2 linked regions of the Drosophila melanogaster genome follow. The protein of the gene in region 1 interacts with the protein of each later gene in a pairwise test. Each region holds a gene or a part of one and is shown on either strand. Other genes may lie near its edges.

Region 1 (9,829 bases):
CAAATAATTAATTTCCAGCTTCCGCGAAGCCAGTTCTAGCCTGCCACGCCCCCTGGCCAACGCCCACGTAGTAAATGGCCGCATGTAACTGCAGTTTCGCCCCCCCCCCAAAAAAACCCCCTCGCTGGCCCCTGAAACGACCGTTTTCAATTTACAAATTGCTTATTTTCCGAAAACCAAATTGCGAGTGCCTCGGACTTTTGCCAGGAGTGAAAACCCGTAACTGTAACCGGATCCGGATACGGATCCTGATCCGGGACCAGGACGAGGCCAGAAGCAGCAGTTAATGCATTTTACGTGCGGCCAGTTGGGTGGCGAGAAATAAGGGGGGTGTTGGGAAGTGCTGGGTGGGGAAAATGCGCTGCGGCGAAGGCATCTCAATTACGTTTATAAATTTTCCAAGCCAAAATGGCGCAGCCTCCGAAAATGAATAGCCGCCCGAAAGGGACAGCGCGAAATGGGGAAGCGAGACGGCAGGTGGCAAAGGTTTTGGGGCAATTAATAACCATTTCAGACCTCATCGAGATGCTGAAGCATATGAACCAGAAATATGAAAGGTAACTTAAAGTTGAGAAAAGATCTTATTAAAACCCCTTTTTAATATTGCCTACGCCATTGATCTCATAAGCATCAGTCTACCCAGGAAACTCATGAAATATCAACGGAAGTCCCCTTTCCGCTTGTCGAAATTTTATTAACTTCTTTTGGACCAAATTGCATTGCGGTTTATTTGGAGGCCACTTCCCATTGGCAAAAACCAACCCTTACCACTTTTTTATCGGCATTCCGATGCCTTCATCACCTGACTCCTGAAAACGATGCCCGTTTATTTATGATGCGACATTTCAACTCGCATTCGTAGGCTTGAAAAGAGCCTCGAAAATTTATGGGCGCCATCAAAAATTGTTTCAGGCACAAAGGAAAATAGTGCACTTCAAGTTATATAATATTAAAAATATTTAAAACAACTCCAAAAATATTAAAATGTTTTCGAGCTTTAAAATAACTTGCATGTTAAGTTTAAAGGTAAATATTAAATTATAAATTCGCTTAAGTATTAAACACAAATCTGTCAGTGTATATTTATTATTGGGTGAGTATGGGGCTGGAGCCACGCCCAGCGCCTAAGCAAATGGCCAAGACTCCATCGTTGGCCTTTCGGTTTTATGGCCTACGCATCATTTGGCTAAAAGAGGCAAAACGGCTTCCACGGAATCCATTTGGAGGCATGTCTTCGACTACAATTTGGGAATACAACAATTTGGAAGAAAAGGCGGAGTGGCATGGTAATCGTTCTATGAAATGCCTAAATAAAATAAATGGCTAAACAGAATTAGAGTGAAAGGAGCTGCGGCCCAAAAGTATGCGGAATGGCGTTTATTCAATGTTATTTATTGGGAAATGCGGTATCGCATTTAGGATATTTTATTTATCATACGGCTGTACATAAGTGGTGAATTTCTTATTTACGACGAACATTATTTGGCTCTTTTTTTATTGCAAGAAATAAGTGTTTTTTCGAAGAAAGGGTAACAATTTTGTTAAACAATTTAGCTTTTAGTATATTATATATTATAAGATCACATCTTTCCACTCTAAAAGCCAACGAAATTAATTAAAAGCGCAATTAATTTGTTTGACAGCTGAAGAAAACAGACGCCAAGCTTTTGGCTTATTTACAATAAGGGGGTAGAATGGGGGGCCAAAATGGCTGAAAGGGGTGAGGGGGCGGCAGGGGAGGCTGGCTTTTTTCTCCTTTCGTTTGTCTGATTCTGTCGGAATAATAAAAGTAATTTAATTTTAATGAAATTGTTAATACGAAAACAATTTCATTTTGCAAAAAGTTTTGCCTGGGCCAAAAGATGGGCAGAGACGGGGGTGGTGGGGTGTGGAGAGAGAGTGAAATTGCTCGTGACAATGAGTGAACGGGAAAACAACAAACAAACAAACAGGAGTGCGAGAGAAAAGAGAAGGCCAAACGAGCAAACACTACGGTACAGAAAATACAAAAATGCCGTCGCAAAGCCAAACAAAAAAGGCACTGCACAAGCGAAAGAGACAGAAGGAGGGAAAGAGAAAGATAGGGAATGCGAGAAATGAAATGCTGATGCGAAGATTTAATAAATGAAATTGGTGTGTGATTAAAAACACAAAAACCAAACGAAATCCATCTAATCAACTTTTGCTGCCGCCTCACTTTTCCTCTACTTTCTCCTCCTCCTTTTCCACCGACCCGTTTCTCCTTTTGTCCTTTCTCCCAGCTGCTATCTCTTTCCTTCCTTCCCGGCGACGTCGACTGCGAGAGCGGCAGAGGGGTGAAAAGAGGGTTGCGAAGTTGGGGAGGGGTGGCACAATACTGGGGGTGGGTGGTCTTAAGTTTGCAACGCCTTCTTGAGGGAAATTCCCGACCAAAGATCCTTGGATTTTTCTAACCTTACGAAATTGTACATAAATAACGGTTAAAATTAATAAATAATTTTTACAATATGTTACTTATTCCACTTAAACATTTATGTTTAATTAAAAAATTTTGAATTTTCAACATGTTTCAAAAAATGTCTTTTTATGTACCATAAAAGATCGGAAAATTCATTCTACCTGTTATATACTTCTTAACAAATCTAGTATACCCTCTTACGAAACGAGTTAAATAGTAAAATTTCCCAGTTTCTTATTCCCCTTTTGGGATTTTCTCTCTTCTCAGGCTCCACCCCTACATATGAGCAGAAAATGGCTCTGAAATGCCTATACATACACATATTTACATACATGACGGCCAGTTGCTATGACATTCTACATCTTACATGCATAATAAATCTGAAATGTAACGTACAACGTAAGTTAGAAATCACTAAAATGAAAAATGGCGCTGTATTAGTTCCAAAAACAAACACCATTTGTCGTAAACGGATAGGCGTTGTGTGCTGTTAGTTCCAAAAGTATACGAGAAAAGTTGAATAAATCATGGCGCAGAGTTAATCCTGCATTGGCAATTTATAATACTAGATTAATTTAAGACCGATCTTGACCAACTTCAATGATGATTTCATTCGGAATGATTATTAAAATCAAACTGATACATCATCTCTGAGAGAACTAGCAGGGAAAATATTATAAATTCTACTACTCTACTAAATCTACTCCTTTCACATAGTATATTTACGTTAACAAACAAAGTACACTTTTATTAATATGAATATTTTGTTATTTGATTAAAGTAATTAATTTGTAGAAAGGATTGAGCATAATATTGTTTTAAATTTTTTTTTTCTATCTCAACGCTAATTCATAACATTGCATCAGAAGAGAAAATAATTTTTTAAAAATTAAGAGAAAAAATGCTAATGTGCTCTTTATTTCATAATATTCGAGTAGTGGTAGCGAGTAAGTTGTTTGTTTCATTTTCAGTCTGTTGGAATTTCTCGTGCTGTGCGGTTGTCATTTGTCGCGATCGTGCTTGGAATTGACTTTAGCGGCATTTTTATAAGAATCAATGCAACGCGTGGTTTTCCTGCAAATTTTGGCACAAGTTCTTAATAAAAGAAAAAAAATATATATATATATGGCATTGGCGTTTATCAGAATAATCCACATCGCCATTTAGTTCGGTGGTTTTTCATCGACTTGTGCTTGTGTGTGCGTGCCACTTGGTTAGTTGTTGCTGCTTTCGCTAGTCGTACGATCTAGCATTTGTGCTCAATTCTGAATTCTAAAATAAAACAACAACTAGCGTTTTCCATATGTGCAACTATTTGCCTTAAAAAGCAATTAAAGCAAAGGCAGTGGTTAAAGTTGACTAAATATTAGTAAAACGTGAATTGTGAATGCAGTTTTGGTGCATTAAGCGAAGAGAGTGGAAGAGAGAGCGGCTCTCTTTTAGTTTGTGATTTCAAAGTGGAAAATTATTAATTCAAATGCAGTCTGCAATTAATTTCATGGAAAATCACTTGTTAGCTGCTCGTTCGCTCTGTCTCTTTCGCACTTCAGCTGACGAATTTTCCGTGCTAAACTTGACACTTTTCAGTCCATCATTCCAACTAATTCTTTGACTGCAGTTTTGCGTCGCATTTCCTTTCTACGCCGATCTGCCTCTTTGCCTTTCTTTTCTCTGATATATTTCAACAGAAGCTCAGTTGTTGTTGTAACTACTCCTCCTCCTTTTTGTTACTTGCTGCTTGTTTTTGTTGCTCGTCATGTACAATTTTTTCCAATTTGTGCGCCTTTTCATATTTTATTCTGCCGCGCTGTTTTTCTGTTTTCTGTTTCTGTCTCGCCGCCGCTACTATTTTTAGCAACAAGTATGGCTGATGTTGTTGTTGCTGCCGCTCAAGTTAACTACGCTACGCTGGCAGAAACAACAACAAGTCAAACTATGCGGAGCGAGAGAGAGTGAACTGAAAACAAAAAGAGTGAGCGATAAAATCCGCGAGAAAGAGTACAGTGGGGCTCGACTTAAATTATCATATTAAGCCAGATCACAAGTATTAACAAATCGAATGTTCTTAAATCCAATAAGCGTTAATCAGCAATGTTGATCAAAAGTTTTAAAATTATTTAATCGATATCAGTGAACTATTGAATACTATTGGTAAAAGCTCAGTCTTGTTTGCATCTTCAAGTGGGGGTCCCACTGTATTCGACTCAGGTGATAACAATAACAGCGACGAGTGAGAGAACTCTCTCTCACTCTCTCTCCTTCATTTCATTTCCCAATCTTTCGTGTTCGTGTTCTGTGGCTAATAGCATTTAAATTTTAATGCCCAATTTCATAGAAACGCAACGCAAGTGGAAAGACTCGAGAAAACAAAAGTGCAGGCCGTCTAAATTGATGGCGAAGTTTCGTGTGCCGCCTGCATTTCATTTATAAATATATTTTCGGCCTTAATTCTGTGCTTCCTGTGAATTAACGAGGAAACTGAAGAGTGCGCGAGCGAGACAGCCGATCACAAATCAACAAGTGGAAACGAAGAAACTTTCTTCGCAAAAGCCGGCTGATCGCAACAACAAGAAGAAAAGAGAGCGATTCTCTGCGACTGGAACCATAACATTTACATCGACCCTGGAATTTCTTCACTTTTCGTCCAACATGTAAGCTCCATTTTAATATGCAATTACTGTTCGCTGTTGTCGAACAGCAACTTATTTATTCATACTTATTGTTTATTTATGGATTTATGCCGCCTACGAACTTTGTGATTGCACAATCGTTCGGCCTTTGAATAATTTTTTTTTTCGCCAAGGCGCCCTTTTGTCTATATACCCATCTCTTTCGACTGCTCCAGTGCTGTCTTTTTCTGGTCCGTGCTTTGAATAAACAATTAAGGCTCAGGGTCTTTAAGCCCTTTTCTCCGCCTTAGAGCCGAAAGTGATTGTTGTAATTTATAATTTATATTTCCTTTCTTAATAAATAAATAAATAGTCAAGTTTATGTTTGAGTTTTATGATTTATATTTTAAGTTATTTCAACTGCAACACCAGCACCACGACCTACTCACAGCAAAAAACGTACAAGAAGGAAAGAAGGAATAAAAAGAGTGGTATTCTCTTACAATATGTTTTATGGCATAAAAGGTGTGGCCATTCATATCAAATATAAAGTAGTGTTGTTTAACGTTATTTTTGTAGGTTGAATAGTATATTCCAACACGCCCCCTCAAAAATAACGTCTATAATTAAAAACATAACAATAATATTCATTAGTAACTATCAAATGTGGGTGGTGTGCATTCTGGGAAGTGTTAACTGATCCAGCATTTGCTGCGAGGATACGGGGAAAACCCAGAAAAACCCGATCAGATCATTGTAACAAAATATGTTTACAGGAATTTAAATTTGAAAAATATATATAAAAATTTCATTCAGCATTCGATTGGTCGTCTTGCAGCAAACCCAATTTGTCTCGTAACTCCACAAATCTCGCAGCAGGCAACGGTTTTGTAAATATGTCAGCCAGTTGATTCTCTGTAGGAATATACTCAAGACAAATCACATTATTCTGAACTTGCTCTCTGGCAAAATGATATTTAATATCAATATGTTTAGCTCGTTTATGACATGAGGGATTGTTTGCTATGCTAATACAGCCTTGATTGTCTTCGTAAATTTTAATGGGGTTTTCTAGTTTAATGTTAATACTAGTTAATAAAAATTTAAGCCATAGAGCTTCTCTCACGGCTTCAAATAGGGCCATATACTCAGCTTCAGTTGATGAGGCTGCTACTGAGTTCTGTCTCTTTGTATTCCAACAAATGAGATTAAAATCAAACATTTTGAATAAATACCCTGTTGTACTTTTTCTATCAATTTCACTACCAGCCCAATCAGAATCCACATAACCAATAATTTTATTTTCAAATGCCAAGTTCTTTTTAAAAATCAATTTCATATCGATAGTGCCCTTCAAATATCTAAGAACTCTTTTTAAGTTCTGCCATAATTCGGAGTTATTTTTGCTACTATATCTGCTCAAGATATTTACTGCAGTAGTTAAATCTGGGCGTGTACAAAGCATTATGTACATTAAACATCCTATGAGGCTACGGCATGGGGTATTGCAGTCTTCATCTGAATTAAGTAATTCATAATTTATTTTACTAGGTAAAGGAGTACTAACTGCATTACAATTTTCCATGTTAAATTTACTTAAAATTTTTTTAACATATGCAGATTGGCTTAAATAGATTTTATCTTCCTGCATCTCTATCCTAATTCCAATAAAATGTTTTATTTCATTTAGGTCAGTCATCCTAAACTTTTCCATTAAATACCTTTTGAAGTTATTCATTCTTGTCATATCTCCTGTAGCTATAACCACATCATCTACATATAATAATACATATATGTTTTCATTGATGTTACCTTTGTCTAAAATATATATACAGCGATCAACTGAAGAGTTTACAAACTCACACTCTTTCAATGCTTGCTCAAATACTTCAAACCAGCATCTAGCCGCTTGCTTGAGTCCGTAAATTGCCTTATTCAATTTACACACATTGTCACTATTACACGATATACCTTGAGGAAGTCTCATATAAATTTCCTCTTTTAACGTGCCATTTAAGAAAGCTGTTTTTACATCCATTTGATGGACTTTCAAGTTATACTGTATTACTAATGACAATATAAATCGGAAACTTGAAATTCTAGCTACAGGAGCAAATGTCTCTTCATAGTCTATTTGGTATTTTTGAGTGAATCCTCGTGCAACCAATCTAGCTTTGTATCTAATTGGATTTCCAAGTTCATTATATTTAACAGAAAATACCCATCTGCTATCTACAATATTTTTGTTTTCAGGCCTTTTTGTAATTGTCCAAGTATTATTAATTTTATGAGCATTTAACTCTGTATTGATGGCTTCTTCCCAAGAAGATTTATCATCCCTATATTGAATTTCATCAAATGAATTTGGGACATCGTTAAATATAGTGTGAGCATTTAGAACAACTTTATTTAGACTATTATCCTCTTCATTATAGGATATCTGAGGCTTAGTCTTTAATCTCTCACTTCTTCTATTAATAATTTCTATGCCATCATTTTTAGTTGGATTATCAATTCCAATTTCTTTTAAGTGCTCTGCTGTTTCACTTTCCCTACTCTCATTCGGGTTGCCTGATCCCTTACTTTCATTCAGGTGATCATCTCGCTTTCTTTTCTTACTCTCATTCAGAAAATATTTATTACTTTCCTTACTATCTTTCAGGAATTGTATGTTGTCGCATTCCTTACTCTCATTCGGGAATTCTGTTTGTATTATTTTCCTACTGTCATTCGGAAAATTTTTATTTTCACTTTCCTTACTATCTTTCAGGAATTGTATGTTGTCGCATTCCTTACTCTCATTCGGGAACTCTGTTTGTATTATTTTCCTACTGTCATTCGGAAAATTTTTATTTTCACTTTCCTTACTATCTTTCAGGAACACTGTTTCAAATTTAACAGCTCTAGAATTAACCATATTGGTTTCATCGACAACAACATCTCTTGCGACAATAAATTTTTCATTTACAGCATCCCACAACTTAAAACCATTGGGTTCATAGCCCACAAAAATACTTTTAAATGATTTATCATCAAACTTTCCTTGTTTGTTTTTAATATGCACATAAACAGTTGCACCAAACACTCTCAAATGTTTTAAGTATGGCTTCTTATTGTGCCACATCTCATATGGGGTCTTTGAACTATCAACAAGTGCTCTACTAGGAATTCTGTTGATTAAATAAGTAGCAGTTAATACTGCTTCGCCCCAAAAGCTTTTATCTAGCTTTGCACCACTAACCATGGTTCGAGCTTTTTCCGTAATGGTTCTTATCATTCTCTCAGAAACACCATTTAACTGAGGTGTATGTGGCACTGTTAAGTGATAAGAAATTCCTTTCTTAACACAAAATTGTCTCATCTCATTTGACAAGTATTCTCTACCATTGTCAATGTATAAGTACACAACCTTTAAATTAAAATGAGCTTCACTCTTGGCTACAAAATCTTGAAACATGCTAAACACATCAGATTTATATTTAATTAAATAAGTTACACAATAATGTGTAAACTGATCAACAAAGATCACAAAATAATTTTTATCATCTAAAGTAACTGGAGTAATAGGCCCACAGACATCTGAGTGTACTACAAAAAGTGGTCTTTTAATATGGGTCTTATCTTTCAATTGTTTAAAAGGAAGTCTTGCCTGTTTACCATTTAAACAGGGTTCACAAATTTCACATGATAACTCTAAGTTGTTTAGAAGACTTTGATCACTAAACATATTCTTTCGTTTTATTTCTAATAATTTGCCATCGCTTATATGGCCAAACCTCTCATGCCATAAACGAAAATTATTTTTATGCTTAGCATTTATAGAATATGCTTGAAAATTGATCACAGGTACATTGTTTAACATACCTGAATTTTTGACAACCATTAACCCATTTTTCGAAATGGTTACACCGCTTTTGTCAAATTCGATCGACATTCCTGCCTCTTGGAGACGCTTTACGGACATCAAATTACCAGCAGCTTCCTTACAAAAGAGTACATCCTCCAGTGTAATCTCATGGTCATTCCGTAGTCGGACAATACCACGCTTAGTGGCATAAATAAATTCGCCTTGCTTGGCCACTGCAATCTTAAGTGGAGGCACAACCTCCACACTGTCGGTATACAGCGACTCATCATTTATAAGATGGTCACTAGCACCAGAATCAAGGACAAACCCGCAGTTGTCCATCACTGAAGTATTATTCACTTCTTTTACCATAAACGCAATGCCGTGTGTTGTTGCAGTTTGAACTTGTTTTTCATTTTCTTTATTTTTATTATTTAATATTCTTTTATAATGGAAACAATCTTTTTTAATGTGGCCTTCTCTGCCACAGTGGTGACACTTGACTTTATACTTTGAATTTCCCTTGAATATTTTCTTTGGTTTAGTTACCCGATTTTTAAACAAATTATTTTTATAAGTGTTATTATTGTTGTGCACGATCGCGTTCATAACTTTCTTGCTTGTATCGTTGTGGTCATTTTTAATTTTAATTTCTTGATCCAGCAATCTATTTTTCACAAACGCCAATGTCAAATTTTCTTCAGATAATGTCTCTATCGCTGTAATAATTCCATCGTAACACGAAGGCAATGTGATCAGTAGATGAGAAATTTTATCCATCTCTTCTATTTTTGCACCAGCTGCCAACAATTCACTTATAAGTTCGTCAAAAATATGAAAATGGCTTAATAGTGACATCTCACTCGATAGCTTCAGAGAAAGCAAACGTTTTCGCAGCGCCAGTTGCGACGCCAAACTTTTTCGTTCATAAACGGC
Region 2 (10,207 bases), on another chromosome or scaffold:
TATCATTACTAATCTAATAACGTGATTTGCTTACTCTTTTAATTACATGTATATACTATTCTTACTAATCAGATTAAATGAACGTGTCTAAGAACAATAATAACCCTTTGCAGGCTGCACAATAATTTCCTGGCCATATATATAGTTTGGAAAATCGTATGAAAGCAATTACAGAATGCGTCCTATAGACGATTTCCATTAATTCTTAAGCAAAAACCCTTAAGATACGTGCTAGAAGTGCATTCGTTAATAAGTTCACTCGAACACGCGAGAAAAGAAAAGTCGGCTTCCCTTTGCTAACACAATACACAAGGCAATATTCTGGGAATTAGCGTGGCAAAGTTCAGAGCACCACCCTCTTCAAAACACAAGAAAAAAAAAAAACCGTGGTGGTTGGTGGGTTTGGGTGGATTTGGTGGTGCTCCATAAATTAGAGCAACTTGGCAATATGACCAGCCAGTCGGACAGTTTTATGGCCACGGAACATAGAACGCACATCGAAAATGCAGTTTACAAATGCTGAAAGACCCCCGCTTTTCCACACACACACAACCCCCATCCCCCACCCCCCTCCCCACCATCGATTTCAAAGAAAACCCCTTTTCCTTTTTGAGGGCAAAGTTCTTTAATGTGCCAGTGGGCGGTTTTCGCTTTTGTTTGCTGCTTTTCTTTTTAAAGGAGCGTCGATTAGAGGCTAATTAAGGCGTCATTAAGTGGCCTAGATAGCGATTAATAAATGAAATCGATTAATAAATTAAAAATAATGCCAATTTGGACTAAATTGCCATGTTTAAAACGCGATTTTCGACGTAAATTAATCAAAAGTGGTCACAGAACTTAAGGAAGTACCGTTTTTTAATCCTTATTACCAATACTAACCATTCGTATCATTTTTTGTAAAATAAAAATTTGACCAAATTTTTGCATTTTCTGTAAGGGGTAACATCATCAAAATTTGCAAAAAATTGAAAAATCTTAGAATTCCCAAACTTGAATGCAACGAGGTATGACATTCCGTATTTGGGTAATTATTTCCAATGTTATGATCAAAATACCGAATATTTTTATCACCAAAAATCTGGAAATTATTCTTGGCAAAAAACTCAATTTTCAAGTTGGCTTTTTTGGCTATAACTCGACTAAAAATGGTCACAGAGCAAAAAGAAGTACCATTTTATACTACTTACAACCAATACTAACTACCCCTTTCACTTTTGAACTGATTTTGTAAAATTAATTTTTGGCCAAATTTTCGCATTTTTGTAAGGGGTAACCATCATCAAAATTTGCAACAAATTGAAAAATCTTAGAATTCCCAAACTTGAATGCAAATCGATTGGAATTTAAAAAACAAACTCAATGAGGTATGACATTCCATATTTGGGTAATTATTTCCAATGTTATGATCAAAAAACCAAATATTTTTTTCACAAAAAATCTGGAAACTATTCTTGGCAAAAAACTGAGTTTTCAAGTTCGCTTTTTTGGCTATAACTTGACTAAAAATGGTCACAGAGCAAAAAGAAGTACCATTTTATACTCCTTACAACCAATACTAACAACCCCTTTCACTTTTAAACTGATTATGAAAAATTAATTTTTAGCCAAATTTTCGCATTTTTTGTAAGGGGTAACATCATCAAAATTTGCAAAAAATTGAAAAATCCTAGAATTCCCAAACTTGAATCCAAATCGATTGGAATTTAAAAAACAAACTCAACGAGGTATGACATTCCATATTTCGACCATTATTTTCAAAGTTTTGCACAAAAAACAGATTTTTTCGAATCAAAATTTGCCAATTAAATGCCAAAATCTAAAGTCTAAAATTTGATTGGCGATCGTTTGAAAATCGAATTAGAAAGACCACCAAGGTACGACACTCCATTGTTGGTGCATTCTTATGATAAGGATATTGTTACGAATTTGCTTTGAAGGAATACAATAATGGGCATACAAAGTTGCAGCAAGGCCCTTCAGATTCAGGTCACATCCACTCGCATTTCCATGTGCACAAATATGAGCATATTTCCCCCAGCTCTAATATTACAAAACAACTTTCAAATGGGCCGCCAAACGCACAGAAATGCGGGTGAAATTCGCAGCTCATCTCGAATTGCATTTGTTTATCGACAAGCGACAATGAGGTTGAATTCCCCATCGTCCCGCTGACAAAGCATCCACATATCATTTGACACCAGTTGCAGTTGCAGCAACGGGCAGCCGCACGCCTCATTTCATCCATGTAAAAGTGGCAACGCGATCGGGCCACAAATGGCAGAGGAACTCAAGTCAGGAGAAGATTGAGTGGAGATTATTTTTAAATGCCGAGCCGGACGATTGACCGAAAGACCGGGCAACCGGGCAGCCGGGAATCCGGCGGAGTGGCAGTGGTTGGGACTCCCAGTTGAATGACCCACACACCGGCGCCGAATATATATATGTACATATACATATATATATGTATATATCGAACAGATAATTATAATGAGAGCAGATGGTCTCGTCTCTTCGGGCTGAATTCTACATAGTAAGTGTATATGTACATATGTATGTATCTGAATTGGTAAACTCATCAAATATATATCAAAGTTCTAAGTGAAGAAATAGCATAGAATAGTTATTAGAATATTATTCAAGAAGTTATTTGAGCGATTATCTAGTTTTTTCATGATTCATAGCTGTCGAAAATTCTAGACAATGAGTGAAAATAGATGTGGCATCTAAGATTGCCTAGTTCTCCTGAATCTTTTAGAATGTGCAACAAAATTGCCTGGGCACAAAAACTGGAAAAAAAAGCCAAAAAAAAAAAAAAAAAAAAAAAACTGTGCCAAGTAAGCAACAATAAATATGAGAATGAGATCATTTTTGGACTTCTCTCACGAATCTTTTTCTTTTTCAGTTTCTTCTCGCTCTGCTCGCCGTTGTATACATTTTGTTAACCAAATGTTTTTAGCATCGTAGAAATTGTTCGAATTTCCACCGACTGGAAGAGCGGAAATATACACAAAAAAAAAAAATAAAGTGCGGATAACGTAGAGGGGGGTAAATGCAGGTCAGACGAATGAATTAGAAACAAAGCAATGGCAAATAAACTGCGACAACGAAGCGGAAATGGATTTAGATAAAACCAGTGTAAACAACAAAGAGGGCAAATAATGTTATCAAAGCAGCAAGTGCAAAATGTACCAAATACAAAATACGAATTATATTCAAATAACAACGAATACCCAGACTCATAAACGGCAATCATTCCGGTTAGTTTAGTGGGGGTCAGTATCGTTATACTCACTTGGCCTTGCTGCTCAAATTGCTTGAATTTGATGAATTGAAATTAGAAAATTCAAATGCAGCACGACAGCCAATTGTTTGTTTATGATACCCTCGCACTGCAAATTGTAATATGATTGTCACGTTCTTGGGCATAGTTCATTTTTTTACGGCACATCAATTTTTGGGAAGCTAGGAGATACATTTATTTGCAATAGAAAAATATATATATAATATATAATATATGTACATATTCCTCCTATCTGCTCTTAAGTAAAACGAAGTTACTAGATTCATTTATGGCTCATTAAGCTGGTAGACATTATCTAATCGGGCGATGAAACCAACCAGTCAAATTGTTCAAAAACTGACCAAAAGTGGCAAAGGAAACTAGTCTTTTTGTACTCGTAAATAGCCGTCATTATGGCCACCAAAAAATTTTGGTGAAAGTGCCACAAAACAATACAATTACCACCCGCATTTTGCCCGCTTTTTAGACTCACCTGTTGCTGGATCAAACAAACGAACAAATGACGTGTTTTATTTGCCACTTGATTTGCAACCGGTTCTCCCTTTTCGGTCACTATTATTTGCTTAATTTGTTTTATGTTTTCCTTGCTGGTTTGCTTCGTTTATTCCACTACTTCTAAAAAACAAAAAAAAAACAACAAAAAAACGCCAACGAACGTGTGTGTTAACAACTTTTCACAGAATTCTGATTGATGCACAGCGCATGTGGAAAAAAAAAGAATGCGAAACACGCGAAGCGAAGAATGTTTATATCTTATCTTATCAGTGATTGGATGGCAAAGGGGGTGTTGGGCAATTTTTCATTATCAACTGATGATGATAGTGCCGTACACATCGATATTTGCTCTGTTTGCTGTTTGCCCTTTTGCTTGTTGTTTTCTCGCAAGTAATAGTCACCAATTGCTTAGCATTTCTAAATGTATCCAGCTGACGTCAGAGCGTCAAAAGTTGTGCGATCTTCTGAATGCACCGCAAAAAACTAGTGGATCGATTCCGAGGCACATACTTTACATTTTCAATGACATTATTACTCATCAATTGTTGGTTTGGCTTTTTAAATACTTAGCATTCATTAAGTGATCTCTTTTTGTTCAGTGCACCTTAGTCATCTGATCTGTAAAACGGTTTTTAGTGACGTCATGAATGACAATAGCAGAAAGAGATGGCAATAAAAGGGTTGCACTTGAAATGAGCCAAACAATAACAACAACAGCACACTGGTTCACCTTCAGCTGATCAGCGGGTACTGCCATCTCCCTCCCACACACCCCATTCAAACTTCAAACAATTACAATTCTCATTCTGTTCATATTGTTCTACACTTGCAAAAACCAACAGGCAAACAAGAAGCACTGGCAAGACAAAAAAAGAAAAACCATTAATGCGAAGAGTAGAGAAGCTCACGTTCGCAAAACAAAGTGTGTATTGAATTACGCGCTATTTATATTAATTAATGGCACACTGTTCGCATTTTCACCGTTAGTGCGCGCGGCGCATACGACGGACGGTGGATGGGAAAGGGAAAGGTCGCGGCAAAGGAGCGCGCGTACACTTACGCCAAAATGCCGGCAAAAACAAAATGAAAACACGGGGATAGATGTTGATGGATGGAAACCCTTTTCAAAGTCCGTTTTGTTCAAAGTTCGCTTTTCAACTGACCAGATTCGGCTTTCGGTTGCGCGGCCAAAAATGCCAAATGCCGCGCATAGTGTGACCATCCGTCAGTGCAGCGTGAATACCGAAAAGCTCACGCGCTGATGCTCCGGTTACACTACAACAAAAGCTTTTGGTACAAATCGAAGCTTACAACAGCTTTTTAAAACGCAATGAACAAAATATTTACAGAGTATTTACACGACGAGCTTTTTTTTTCAATTGTCAACTAATTGAAAAAAAGCTCGTTGTGTAAATATTTTTGACAACCTCTGTGTATATATACATATGTACATATTTAATATGTTACACATTTTTTGAAAAATAAATAATTGGCGCAATACAGGGCCACTTTGGTTTACATAGCACAGGCAAAACATGTTGCTTCGGAGATTCTAATACACGATATAAACGTATGAAAACAAGCATGAACGAATATAAAGTCCCTTCGGCTTTCCAAGCCTGCTGGATTTATCTTCATCGGAGGTTTCATCTGAGGTGATATGGACGAAGATGGAATGACGAGGCATTTTTTTCCGATTTACACGCAGAAGCAGCACGAGCGTCCTTTTTATAGCATTTTAATATGATTGTACACAGTTCGATCGTCACTATGCGATTGTTTAATCATTATTTAAGCTTTTCAAGACATGTGACCAGATTTTAGTCGCCTTTCAAGCTGAGATTCCGAAAATCAGATACTTTATACTATGGCGCCATTCGCGCAGCCTCACACTGATTGAAAACAAGTAAGCTGATAGCTGGATACGCTGCAAGGCAAAGTATAAAAAACATAAAGTAAACAAATGTAAACAATTCATATAAGCCAAGTTCAATGAGCCAAATCCAAGTAAACAAATGAATTTAGCGGCAGAACCGGTTGTTCTTGCTTATATAATACAATATATTGCTTTCGTTTCGATTCTGGCTGCTATCAAAAAAGCCCAAAACTCGTGTCACAAAAGTCAAGAAGCGACCGAGCAGATAATACAGCTCGGGAATTAAACAAATGCGTATTTTTTTTGTTTGAAATCAATAAATCCAAGTTGGCACGACAATAATCAAAATGTATAATGAACGCGAATAACCTTTATTGTATTTCAAACAGAAAGTACAAATTTATTTTAATGCTTTTAGGAATCTATATGTGCAAAAAAAAAATGCACTATGTTTGCTCTACACTTTCAAGTTTATAGAATTCAAAAAATAAATGCACTTTTGTACTCCCCATCTATATTGTATGTATATTGTGTCGCTTTTCTCACTGTGTGTCCGTTGGCTTTCGGTTAATTGGCACTTGGATGTTGGAAGTTGCCCGGCTGGTTTCTGCTTTCCGATCTGGGATCGCCACTTGTCGAGCTGACCCCACTGCAGTCCGCCGCTGGCGCTGATCAAGAACGGAGGATGAGCATTCGGTCTACCCATTGCATACCCACTCGTGTGTATCTGCACCTTCTGCTGGTGTCGCTACCACTTTTGGCAGGTGAGTACAGGAATATCTGATCGATCAAGGGGTTTTCCCAGCTCAGTCGCGTCGAGTGACTGGCTGACTCACATGTATTTCACATCCATTCAAATGGTACTTTTTTCGTCGAAGTTCACGCCACGCCCGCCATAAGTCCGCAATCGTTGCGCGGCATCATCTTCCCCGTCGAAACCTTCGATGAGTGCCAACTGGAGGACGTGGCGCGGACGAAGGGCACCTGCCGGCGCATGGAGGACTGTCCCAGTGCCCTGAACGGCTGGCTAGAGCGGCGCGAATCGCCCAAGACCTGCTACTTTGTGAGGTTCGACCACTATGTGTGCTGCGCCCCAGCTGTAGCTCCAATTGTCACCCGATCCAGCCAGCAGGGTAAGCTGACCCACCTCAACATATCCATAAATAACAGACATATTGTATTATTGCAAGTATATGTATCATTTGGCCCTAGTTTCGAGCCTTATAATGTGTTGTCATCCATGACTAACCACAGGGTATCCCCTGACGTTTCCATTTCCCCCAGCCTGCAATGAACTGAACAAGGTGTCAAAGGTCAAAGAGATCGACGAGTTCTTCGTGTCGGTGGTGGGCGGCATGCCCACCCGTCCGCGGGAGTTCCCCTTCATGGCCGCATTGGGCTGGCGTTCGAACTTCGATCAGAGGATATACTATCGATGCGGCGGCGCCCTTATCGCCAACAACTTTGTCCTGACCGCAGCCCACTGTGCCGATTTGGGCGGGTAAGTTGGAACGCTAATCTGCATGATTGGCGGTTTTTCCCTGGCAATGGAAATATCCCCTGATATTCGTATGTACATAGATTGTTGAGCTCTCAATCCTAATGTCGCTTCTTCTCTTCCAGTGAGCCACCCAGTCAGGTGCGCCTCGGTGGCGACAATCTAACCCTGACCGAGGGCGAGGATATAAGCATTCGGCGCGTGATCATCCATCCGGATTACAGTGCCAGCACGGCATACAACGATATTGCGCTGCTTGAGCTGGAGACGGCGGCCAAGCCGGAACTGAAGCCCACTTGCATTTGGACGCAGAAGGAGGTGACCAACACGCTGGTCACGGCCATTGGTTATGGGCAGACCAGCTTCGCCGGTCTATCCTCCGCTCAGCTGCTAAAGGTGCCGCTGAAAAGCGTGAGCAACGAGGAGTGCCAGCACCACTACCAAAAGGATCAGCTGGCTCAGGGCGTGCTGGGCACGCAGATGTGCGCCGGCGATATAACCGGCGAGCGGGACACCTGCCAGGGCGATTCCGGCGGACCGCTGCTCATGCAGGACGGCCTGCTTGGCTATGTGGTGGGCATCACATCGCTGGGACAGGGATGCGCCAGTGGACCGCCATCGGTGTACACCAGGGTGTCCAGCTTCGTCGACTGGATCGAGGGCATTGTGTGGCCGGCGCAGCAGGTGACGAACGCACCGCAACCCAACCAGATGACCAGTTTCAGTCCCGAATTCGATCTGCGGGCGACGATCTGAGTTTTGCTTTCGAAAGCTCCATATATATACAGGAATAGATTTACAAAATGATCCAGCAAGAAATTATTTGAATATTTACATACACTATTAGGTAAATCAACAAATTTCAAGAAATATTTATTTTTGAGCTCGTTTAGTGTTTAAAACTTTATTTAAACTTAACCGTAAGCAAAAGCCAACTGCATAATAGCGCATATCGAATAAACTTGCTAACAAAATCAACAATTGAGATTTTAAATAAACAAAACCATATTTATAACTTTTCACTCATGTCCGTTTGTTGGATTGAGTTTCTTGTTTGGAATCATGTTGCTATTTCAGCCGATACCCATTGGATAAACAGCTGCGCAGCATGGATATATAAGTGGCCAGAACCGCAGGAGACGGATACTTGAGCACGAACCGCTGACCACTGATGTACCGCACCGAGACTCTGCTGCTAATCCTGACGAGCGTCGGGATACCGTCACTGGCCTATCTGCCCGATGTGAACATATTCACCAACTACCGCACCGAGGTCTATAATGGTATGTATAATAGGAATTGTTTGTAAAGTGTGGCGGACTAATAAAGAAATCCCACAATATCGCTAGGCATTCCATCGGAGATTGATACCACACCGTTCGTGCGGATCGGGGACAACTATTACTACATCGAGCCCATGAATAAGGTGAATTGGTTTCAGGCGGCCGGCGCCTGTCGCATGATGAACGCCCACTTGGCCTCCATCGAGGATAAGCCGGAAATGGAGGCGCTGATCAAATACATGAAGGCCAAGGGGTTCAAGAACAATGATTACTTTTGGATATCGGGCAATGACCTGGGCACCGAGGGCGCCTTCTATTGGATGTCCAACGGCCGCCCGATGACCTACGCCCCTTGGAACGGGCCCAAGCAAATGCCGGATAACTACGGCGGCAACGAGAACTGCGTCCACATGTTCGCCACCCGGGAGATGATCAACGATGCCAACTGCAAGATCCAGATGCTGTACGTCTGCGAGGCGACGGAACCGAAAACCTTCAAGTTCACCTACATTAAGTGGTAGTTTTCGATTGGTTCTAAAATAAAACCAGCATTACATACATATATTAAAATAAGTTCAATTGAAGTTGGGGCAAAACCGAGTTGTTTTACGAATATTACGAATATTGGTACATATTAAAAACAAAAGTTGTAGTTTTTGCCGGCTTTTATTTGTCGCATCGTTTTGCTTATCGCATCCGTTATTCTCTTTTCGCTAATTATACAATCAGTTAGATTTACGATTTTTGCATACTAAATTGTTACGATTCCGATTCTTACACAGCTATTGAACTCTATCATATACATACATGTATTATCGATCGATTCATTTGATTCACTTGAATTGAATTTAGTTGCGTTAAATGTAGTTAATTAAATTTAATTTAATTTATTAATACCCACTAATATCGCGACGACAAAAAACTGTGTATGTTTCGAGTATATGCATGTGTGTTATATAACAATAACGGCACACGTAATATGAAAGTTGGGAACTGCGAACGGAGCGCAAACTGAAACGAAAACGAAGGACTGAATGGGCAATGATGGACGAAGGATGAAACGATTTCGAATGCATGGAATCCAGTGGGGAAATGGGTTAGTTTTACAGTTAGATCTGCGGCTTACTTGCTAGGCTAGGCGAAAACGTGATCGATATTGAAAAAATCTACGACATAATCTCAACATTCATAGCGAGTATGCATGTAGTGGTGTATTCGTGTGTGTGTGTGTGGGAGTGCTTATGTGCTTACATATGCTCTGGTACACAGTTATGTAGTCTAAGTAGTTGTCGATTTACGATTTACCATTTACGAGTCTTACGTGGCTAGATTGCTAATTCTAAACATTTGTTTGTTCACATTAATCCACAAGTTATGCATATAAATATTGTATATTTATCAATTAGTTAATATTAGTAACTACATACATATAATTCATATAAATATTCAACAGACGAGTGCATAAATTTAATAATTCTTATATGTTACTCTCGCTCGCTCTCTATTTCGTTCCTTATTACTTTATCTCGCTCTATCGCAACCGCTTTCTCATTCTTACTAACGGCTCATTGCCCCGTCTTCCCCAACTTTCTATGCTAACTTTATCGTTAAGTGTCCCTCTCTGTTCGGGTATCTGTGTGGGGGGAGCCTTTGCGCTTGTGTGTGTTTGTGATGTGAGTGAGAAAGTGTGTATGTGTAAGGTGGGCTTCAAAGCTGCCAGCTTGTAGGAGTCGTCGTGCGAAAGGGAGAGCGCA

The links.
Region 2: the proteins of for (region 1) and CG12065 interact in a two-hybrid assay, tested with the Drosophila melanogaster proteins (one large-scale study listed by BioGRID).

Annotation. Positions count from the first base shown.
Region 1 is NT_033779.5:3,650,529-3,660,357, reverse strand, and holds the start of for (foraging), read left to right. Parts: upstream 1-3,404; 5' UTR 3,405-3,636; exon of another isoform or gene 3,637-3,650; intron 3,651-4,772; 5' UTR 4,773-5,088; intron 5,089-9,829.
Region 2 is NC_004354.4:8,569,057-8,579,263, reverse strand, and holds the start of CG12065 (uncharacterized protein), read right to left. Parts: upstream 4,959-10,207; 5' UTR 4,857-4,958; intron 3,917-4,856; exon of another isoform or gene 3,914-3,916; 5' UTR 3,774-3,913; intron 1-3,773. Other genes in the region: spirit (serine protease immune response integrator), read left to right, coding at 6,358-6,436, 6,551-6,805, 6,957-7,173, 7,296-7,926; CG12111 (uncharacterized protein), read left to right, coding at 8,342-8,453, 8,520-8,974.